2 linked regions of the Caenorhabditis elegans genome follow. The protein of the gene in region 2 interacts with the protein of the main gene of each other region in a pairwise test. Each region holds a gene or a part of one and is shown on either strand. Other genes may lie near its edges.

Region 1 (5,484 bases), 1.9 Mb from region 2:
CTGTTAAGGATACCGAATTGATTGTTGGAGGATTGGGAAAAGAATGGACGACCACTGACGGAGTTTATGTGAACGATCACCCAATGTGGGTGAAGCATGTCTCTGCTCACGGAGCCGTTCATCACGAAAACTGGAAGGATGTATATATCCGCGTTCGTAGAGCTGCTGGGATCGAATATCCCGGATACATGATTCACGAAGCTGTTCAATGGTCTGCAATTCACAGAAAATGGTTCTTCCTTCCACGTAGAATGTCAAATGAGAAGTATTCTGAGGCGGAGGACGAGAACCGCGGAACAAACGTTCTTGTGATTGGAAATGAAGAGTTGACTGATTTTGAGGTTGTGCGAGTAGGATCGGAGAATAACAAATCCAGAGGGTTTGCTGCTTTCCAATTTGTGCCAAACACTCATCACCAGCTCATCGTTGCCATCAAGTCGGAGGAAAAGGTAAGTAACAGGTTTTATCTACACAATTTTAAAAACAAAATCCGTTAATCTCAATGCTCGGTTTATAAAATTGTATTCCAGGATGGAAAACCAGTAGCAAGTTATGCAAGTGTTTTCGACATTCATGGTAATGTTATTCTTGACGAATATCTTCTTCATGGTCCATACAAATACGAAGGAATTGCATTTGCCTAATCACTTCAATTAATGTATTTTTGTCTCAATTCCCACCTTCCAGTCAGGTCCAAATCTGTGTTCTCGATATTATGTGATTTTTGTCAAATACTATGTAATGGTTATTTAAATAAAATAAATATATAAACATTTTATTCAACATTTTTTGCATGCATAAAGCTGCCAGTGGGTAAAAATATATATAAAAAAATACTCAAGTAAGTGGGAATCAATAAATTATTTAATTTACAAAGTCTACACGGGAAAATAAAATAACATTGGCAATATTTTTCTTAATATGCTGGTTTGAACCGTTTGATTTCGAGCATCACTTGATGAACGTTGACTAACTGGGAACACACGGGATTTTTAGCAAATACGTCATGGGACAGAATCTTTGTGAATCTATTGATATACTGAACGTACTTTGTGAAGATTGTCTGAAATCATCTAGTTAAAACTGAAATTCGGCTCTAGGAAATAAATTTTAACCTGTAAAATGGTGGTTCCCAGGCTGAAGTTAGTGAAAAGTTGTATGCATTCTGAATTAATACTGTCCACTGCAGGTCTCCACTTTGCATTGAAGTTTGCTACCACCGTTCCAACTTTGTCTGAAATTAAAATATTAGAGAATAGAAAATTATATATGACAACTTGCCATTATATCGAACTAAGAGTTGTGTATGACCTTGAACAATCAGAGATTCACACTCGTTGACAAATTTAATCATGTACCCAATATGTGGCTCTAGCATCTCTTCAACAAAATCATCAATACTTTTTTGTTCAAGCTCATGGACAATTGCATAAATCTTTGTATGCTTGCTTTCCTCGTTATCGATAATCGAAAGAATAAGATCGTAATTGTTAATCAGAAAGACGTGCTTATTTTTCTGAGTTTGCTGCATAGCTGACATTCGAGTCAATAGTTGTTCAATAGAGTCTTCACTGTTCTCCAAGACAGCTTCCATCTTTGCACCCATTTCCTTTCCACTTGCTTTTGCTATCATCAAATGTGCACTTGTCAGTTCGGCGTACCGTCGGACTATCTGTAACATCTGAATTTTTTTGATTATAAAAAACAATCAAAAACTTACGAAATGCGGTCTTGCATCAAGTGAACCGCTATGCATCAACTTCTTCAAATCAACAGATTTGACACTTTCGTAGTGTTGAGACATGACCAAATTGAGGCGGGTCCAAAGGAAGCTTGTGACAGTATTCCAATAATCGCTAACTTCTGGTACCTCTCTCTCGGCGAGCACTTCGGTAAACTTGTCACATAGACAAATGCACAGATGAAGACTGATGGCGTCCCAACTAAGGGCGATTTGCTCCTCGCAGCTTTTGAGCACAACTGACATTGCTCGAGCCATAGCCTGAAAGCAATTATAAGCTTTTTTCCGGTAGTGAAAAGGCAAACAACTATTGTAAATGTAACATTACTACGTAATAGATATTAGGTCTTTCCAGGTCCTCGTAACATACCTTGTTATGCAGTTCAATGGCTTCATCATTGCTGACAAGGAAAAAGTCGGTAATAAAGAGGTACTCATGGCTGTAGTGATCGACAAATGCCAGTTGAATAGAACGAAATAGTGCTTCAAATTGATACTGAAAATATAATTTAATTTGGTCCCTACCAGTTCTATTGTAAGGTATACCGATTGATGGTTCTGCGTAGCTGCGTGGGGAACAATCAAGGCTCCTAAAAAGTCGTCAGAGAGAATTTGATGTCGTTGCCCAATCGAAAAAACGGTTGCCTTATTCCGAACAACGTGTTGTTTCGACGAGAAAATTGCGCCTAATCCAGCGGGTTTTGCAAAATCAATACTTCCCAAAGCGTCTTCTTTGGTGGCCACGTCTTTCATCTTAAATAATTACTCTGGTGAATATACTTGAAAAATGTGTCTCAACCTACCGCAAGTTTGAACAGGCGTGTGGCGTATGCTTTGAAATACGTGAAGAACATCTTGCTGATGGTGTCAATGTACTCGTCTTGAAGTTCCTTGGCAGAGATCAAGTCATGGTGCAACAGGAATTCGTAGAAAAATCGGCATTTGAGAAGCTGGTGTTGAAAAACTTGGTAGTTGGACAGAGGTTTACGGAATTGGAACATTTTCTGAAGCAACCATTCCCTCACTTTTACAACCGCCTGAAAAAAAACATTTTTGAAATGTAAACTTTTGTAAAAAAAAAAACACCCAACCTTAAGCTTTAGTCCTTCCAAAATCGGCATAGTGTCGTTTACCGCTACCGCATCTCCATTTCCCCTTTGCAAAATTAAGGTTATTTTGTGGTGTAACTCGTGGAGCGCTTCCAAAAAACCCCTGTCATTTGCATCAGTGTCGTTGATAGTTTTCATCATCGTTTGAGAAACAGCAATATCGTCTACAAATTGGCTCAGCTCGACTCTAACTTTTTGCCGGTTTTCCAGTTCCTGAGAAGATTATAGTACGTTGAAATTGGAAAATTAATTTACTTGATGAATATGATGCGACTGTAGCTGCAAATTTTTCATATCCTGCCCAATTGATCCTAGATTGTCTTGAAAACTGTACAATGTTGCTTGCAAGCGCTAAAAAGTTTAATTAAATAGTCGACTGATTTATATATTGGCAATTTTTACAATATACTTACTTCAAAAACATTATCACAATGCACAAGTTGATTATGGAGTTGAGCCAACTGCTCAGAGTTATCAAGACACTGTTGAACAGAATAACGATGTGCCTCCGATAGCCGCGTGCTGACGTCGTCTGAATTATTGATTTTTCAAATGTTGACATTTAGAGACATACTTTTCGACTCGGTTAGTCCGTCACCAGAAGCAATTGCTTTTTTCACCAAATTCGGATCTGCTTTTCGCAATTGCGATAAACAAAATTCTAGCGACGATATTGTGAAACTACGGTCATTTGCCTCGGATTTTTGCAAGTTGACACGTGTTCGAGGCATTATTTGTGCTGAAATTGTTTCAATAAAAATTTTGATGAATAACTAACGTTAATAAATAAAAAATAGCGATAAACCAAAGAAAAAACAATTGGTAACACGTCGTTAAACGATGCTCCGCTTTTTACACCCCGCGCGGTGTTTAGAATAATGGTGTGCTTGTGTGCGAGGAAGGCGAGGAAAATGCTCGCCAAGGAGGTTATGCAGAACAATTGGAAAAATGAGAATGTGTGGATTTTTGAATTTTTATAGAGAATTTAATTTATCTATTTGGTATATTTTTGACAATTCGCTACGAGAAATCTAAAACACTATTAAATCTTCAAACCCCAACAATATTGAAATTTGGATTTTTGTTTAGTGAAAAAATAAGTGAAAATATGAATTTTTCTGATCAAAGACTTTCATAATAATTGGTGAAAACCTAGTTTTCAGCGCATTAGGCTCGAAATAAAAAATTTCTCAAAACTTTTTGAATCCTTCGATTCAAATATTTCCCGTTTTACAAAAAATTAGACAAATTTCTAAACTATATGGCTTCCTTCATTTTCTTGGAAAAATACACTTGAAAAATACAATGGAACGTGGAGAATCATATATATATTATTATTATGATGAGAAAAATGACTGAAAAAATTTGGAGCAAAATCGGAAGTCTTTCAGACAACCTCTCAAAGATATGCCTTGACAACCGATATGTGCAATTTGGAAGTGAATGAGGTGGAAATCGAGTATAAATATTAAGTGTTATACAGTTGAATAATACAGTTTAATAGTTAAAAAAAAATACTTCAAACAGGAAAGAGATTATCAATATGCTTCGAGTTGATCCTTGTTTTGTTTTTTGACGAAACTGTAGCTCATTTTGCGTTGCTTGGAATCAGAGTCGGCTTCCTGAGGAAGATGCGGTGGCTGGAACTGTATCCTGACGTTGAATGGATTGAAGGGCGGCATTCATCATTTCTTGAACTGGAAAGTTCTGAGATGTGCCTCCTGAACCAACCTTGCTGATTCCTCCGAGAATCTCCATTGGGAACGGGAAGATGATTGTGCTGGTTTTCTCGGAACTGAAATTTTATTTTGTTAGTTAAAAGTTGATAGTGCGCTTCCATTACCTGATAGCATTGAGTGTGTGCAGATATCGAAGCTGCATGGCTCCCTCGCTTTTTGAAATGATGGTGGCGGCTTCAGCAAGAGCGGCAGATGCTCTTAATTCTCCTTCGGCAGCGATAATCTGAAATTAATTGCAATCGAAATTAATAATTATTGGTCCCCCGCATTTTGCTATGCTCATCATGTCGGCTCACCTTTGCTCCAGCATCACGAGTAGCCTCGGCTTCAGCAGCCATAGCACGTTGCATTTGAGATGGAAGACGGACATCGCGAAGCTCGACACGTTCAACCTTGATTCCCCATGGCTCTGTAGCTTCATCGAGCGAGATTTTCATGTCGGCGGAGATTTTCTCACGGTCGGATAGAATTTCTGAAAGGGTATGGGTACCGAGAATTGTACGGAGGGTGGTTTGAGCCAAAAGTTTGGTAGAGTCGGTCGCATTGCCAACTCCGACGACCTAAAAATTCCAAATTAGATTGAACCGTACCAGCTGTTTAGTTTACCGAAGTGATTGGGTCAAACACCTTGAAGTAGACAACTGCGTCAACAGAAACGGTAACCGAATCGCGAGACAGAATCTGAAGAGAGAAAGATTATATCACAGTGAGCAGGTGTGTTGCGCAACATACCTCTTGTGAAGGGACATTGTACGATGCCACACGCAGATCGATATTCAAGAAAGTATCAATACAAGGTATGATGAAGAAGATTCCGGGACCTTTGACGTCAGGAACAAGACGTCCCAAACGGAAAACTACAGCACGTTGGTATTCCTGAACAATCTGAAGAAAA
Region 2 (4,110 bases):
CTTTCAGAAACTTTGTAGTAAATTTTAAGCTCTTTTAGAATTTACTATCAATATTCCAGTAGGTAAAAGAAGCTTCACGTAGTTACAGAAATAGTACATTTTTAGCCCTACCATTTAGTGCGTATTTTATTATTTAATGAAAACTACCATTTATAGTCAAAAATAGATGAATTTTCGTAACTTTAAAAATTCATAAATCTGTTCAAAGTAACTTTTTTTGAAATGTCTTTCAGAAACTTTGTAGTAAATTTTAAGCTCTTTTAGAATTTACTAACAATATTTCAGTAGGTACAAGAAGCTTCACGTAGTTACAGAAATAGTACATTTTCAGCCCTATCTTTTAGTGCGTATTTCATTATTCAATGAAAACTACCATTTATAGACAAAAACAGATGGATTTTCCAAACTTTGAAAATTCATAAATCTCTTCAAAGTAACTTTTTTTGAAATGTCTTTCAGAAACTTTGTAGTAAATTTTAAGCTCTTTTAGAATGTACCAACAATATTCCAGTAGGATGTGTTTAAAAATCTGAATGAACACAAAATTTGCAACAAAATCGCTATGGGTATTTTCAAAACAGTTAATTTAAAGCGGAATATTAATTTTTAAAGTTTTGAAAATCCACTAACTTTGCATATGAATTGTCAGTTCAAATCAATTTCAAAATGTACTTCAAAATGTTTGACTGAAAATGCACTTTTTCTTTGCGGTTATAGAAGCTTTTGGAATTTAGTTTTCAAACTTTGAAAAAACCCCTTTTTTCTGTTAAAATCTACTTTTCTGCTCTGAATTTTGTCTTGTTGTTTTGCTATGACAAGTTTAATGAGACAGATTTTTACATTCAAAAGGCTTTTTGAAAAATTAACAAAACTTCCCATTTCCCATACAAAAATCATCATATATTATTCCAAACTGAAAGGAATATAGAGTCAACAGAAAATGGCAGGAAATTTGTATATGAACAAATAAATAAATAAAGATATGCAGGAAATGAAACAAAATAAATAATGACAAAAAAAAGTTGTCGCTGGCCAGCAATAGATATGCTATTGAAATCACAAAATACGTGGCATTTTTGGTATGTATGACGAGATGGTTGATAGTTTCGCATTCAACTGATTCTTCCTCATCCACGCCAGAATCGGTAAAATGCGTACATGAAGATGCAGCAGACAATGCATCCAATCACAAATAGGATCCAATCCTCACGAACACGCCGATCGATGACTTGAAGTGTCGAGTTAGAGAGACCCAACTCAAAATATGTTTTTAAAAGTTGAAATTAGAAATGTAACTTACAGCTTGGCCAATTTCATGCATTTTTCTCCCAACGCCGCGTAAATTTAAATGCTGGGATTTCAAGTTTTCGAGTACAGCAGATCCTTGACTTATCAGATCGTCAAGCTGCAATTATTGCTTTTAAATTCATTTTTTTCAATTAACGGAAGACAAAAATTTAATTTTAAGTGGTAAGTACCATAAACGTTATCTGAAAACTCACATGAGTGTGGGAAGATTGCAGGCGATCATTGAGAAGAAGCTCGTGGTCTCCAATTGAAAGCGCTGTATCGTTTGGCCGATATCTGAATTTCTAGTTACATACATTCAATGTTTCAAATTTTTGATCAACTTTAATTTACATTCAATCTACTAAATCTGTTACACAAATCAGAAGTGAGAGAACTATTTTGTTTTCTTTCGCAGGATTGACAAAACTTCGTTACAGCAAAATCCTTTGATCAAATGTATAAATTTGCAAATAATTTTAACAAACTTGTATACACCAGCGTTTTTATACCGTCCATATTTTCTTGCAGCAATTTAATCGTCTTTGTTTCGTTTGATAATTTGAGAAAAAAAATACTTACCGCGTCCTAAGAAGCTCATCTCGTTCAGTAGCAGCTCTCCATCTTTGTGTCATTCTCGTGTGTACTGCCGAAACGGCCATATCAACTCTGTGGACGTCGGCGCGTAACTGATCAACTCTCATTCGGGCCTGAATTTTTGAATTATTGATTTTTTGTCTTATTTCTTCCAAATTTTCTCACCGCTTGCCGCCTCGCTGGAGGTTCTCGAGAAACGTAATTATCTAATGTCTGGCAGTTTTCCTTCAGGGTTCTAAAAAATTATTTTAATATTCAAAAAAATATTTTAAGTCAGCTCACATGACATCACCATATATGCACTGTACAACAACTTGCGCATCTTGTTCGTTTTGAGTGCCTTCTAGTCGTCCAAGGTCATGTTGAACCTTCTGTAGAAGAAAATTGGTGCTTTGGTAAAGAGCCTCCATGGATAAACTGAAAAACTTTCAATTACAAATGTGAAATTCAAAAAAAAAATATCTGAATCCAAGAATAAGTAAAGTACAGATGTGTCCCCGCGTAAATCGAGGGGTGAGTCGTCGTACGCAAACACAACGACGCACAAGTGCACAGTGTGACGTCAACATAGAACGGCAATGAAAGAAAGGGGAGTAACGACGAAAGGAAGGAGGCATGTGTATAGATGGAGAAATAGTGTCAAAAGTGGAAGGAAAGAAAAAAAAAACGAAAAAGAATGGTAAATTGCAAACTTTGCTTGACATTCTGTAAGCTGAAACAGGGGTTCAAACAGTTTTTTTTCTTCCAAATTATTCCACGCATAGGTTCAATGAAAATCCTGCTTAAGAACTAAGAAAGACTGTTGTTTTTTATCTGACCGAGAAAAAAAAAATACCGAAATCATATGTAGTCTAGTGTCCAAAACTTTGAATGTGCGTTTATTATCGATACTGAGAAATTATCGCTTTTTTCTTGTATTTACTTATTCAATATTTTGAAATACTTCTTGTGCCTCAAATAGGTGCGCTAGTATTAGAACAACATATCTATTTTGAGTACAAACTTAACTTATTTGCTTAGCATTGCTTTTCTCCAAACAGTAAATAGGAAAAGTTTGCAATAAGAGAAGCACTTTTGCAAATATTATAAGAAAACGCGATTAGTTTCACTTTGAAACCTCCGACTTTTCTCTGATGTTATGACTTCTAGTTTCCAGTGCGAATGCTATGAATAATCCTATTATGTGCCACCTATTTTGTACTTGCATTCTTGCATATTTTTTTGGCGTTTCTTCCAAAAAGTCAAGTCACTCCGTCCTTTTCCCTTTCAAACTCAATTTCAAATTCTCATTTATTTTAATGGTCAAAAAAGAAGAGAAAACTCACAATTCTTTTTTTTTTCTCCGTCTTCGTCTTTAGGGAAAGTGTCAGTTTTGTTTTTGTTTTCCACTGTTTTGGTAGATAACAATGAAAAAAAGTAGAACACGGACAACAAATAAACTTTTTGTTTCGTGTATTTTTTAGAGTTCAGTTAAAAAAAACAATTTTGGAAGGATTTTTTGTTCAAACGTTCTACACTTTCATTAAAAATATATTATGGATTTCTTGTTTTTTCTTTAAATAAAACCATAAAAACAAACAAATTGAGCATTTTCCTCTGTGATCATTTGAAATGAGATTTTCATTGAGCCGGTGAGCCCACAAACAGCTGTGTGCTGTCTGCTCTTCTCAGCCACTGATACGGCTTTTGAAATGGCAGTTATTTTCGTTTTTGTTGTCTTTTTTGATGTATTTCTCTTTTTTGATGATTTGCTCTTTTTGTGGCAACCAATTTGCTTTGTGGTGGGCCCATCCAATTCCAATTTCTCACCACTTGAATTTCTAATGATGCAAAGAGAATATTTCTGAAGATGTATGTAATGTCGGCAAGTGTTTAACACATTTTATTGCTATTTGTTTCAAACGAAATATTATTGGACCCGAAAGTTTCTATTAATGGAAACTGTCAGAAGTTTGTAAGTTTTGTTTAATTTGTGTGTCAACTGCTCCATATTATTTTTAGGCAATCAATTTTGAACATACTAACTATTTTTCATTCGATGATAACTTGATTTAGTCAATTAAATTTCAAAAATAATGCACAATTAATTTTAAAAGTTGAGTATCAAAATTTTTATATCGGAATTTTTTTAGTGACATTTCAATGGTTAAATAAAATACTTTTTATATGCAGAAATATTTTCAATTTCGAAAAAGTTGTTCAAGACGCAGCAGACAGAAGTTAATT

The links.
Region 1: the proteins of memb-1 (region 2) and vps-52 interact in a two-hybrid assay, tested with the Caenorhabditis elegans proteins (one study listed by BioGRID).

Annotation. Positions count from the first base shown.
Region 1 is NC_003284.9:7,563,428-7,568,911, reverse strand, and holds vps-52 (Vacuolar protein sorting-associated protein 52 homolog), read right to left. Parts: upstream 3,590-5,484; 5' UTR 3,582-3,589; coding exon 3,425-3,581; intron 3,383-3,424; coding exon 3,264-3,382; intron 3,202-3,263; coding exon 3,106-3,201; intron 3,064-3,105; coding exon 2,833-3,063; intron 2,779-2,832; coding exon 2,545-2,778; intron 2,495-2,544; coding exon 2,288-2,494; intron 2,238-2,287; coding exon 2,112-2,237; intron 2,003-2,111; coding exon 1,721-2,002; intron 1,673-1,720; coding exon 1,282-1,672; intron 1,235-1,281; coding exon 1,116-1,234; intron 1,064-1,115; coding exon 917-1,063; 3' UTR 767-916; downstream 1-766. Other genes in the region: Apyrase apy-1, read left to right, coding at 1-449, 531-644; sto-1 (Stomatin-1), read right to left, coding at 4,459-4,645, 4,694-4,812, 4,886-5,149, 5,196-5,270, 5,322-5,474. UniProt on the Caenorhabditis elegans protein: Acts as a component of the GARP complex that is involved in retrograde transport from early and late endosomes to the trans-Golgi network (TGN). The GARP complex facilitates tethering as well as SNARE complex assembly at the Golgi.
Region 2 is NC_003284.9:9,439,271-9,443,380, forward strand, and holds memb-1 (Golgi SNAP receptor complex member 2 homolog memb-1), read right to left. Parts: upstream 2,302-4,110; 5' UTR 2,295-2,301; coding exon 2,167-2,294; intron 2,120-2,166; coding exon 2,050-2,119; intron 1,998-2,049; coding exon 1,870-1,997; intron 1,585-1,869; coding exon 1,503-1,584; intron 1,406-1,502; coding exon 1,301-1,405; intron 1,257-1,300; coding exon 1,128-1,256; 3' UTR 809-1,127; downstream 1-808. UniProt on the Caenorhabditis elegans protein: Involved in transport of proteins from the cis/medial-Golgi to the trans-Golgi network.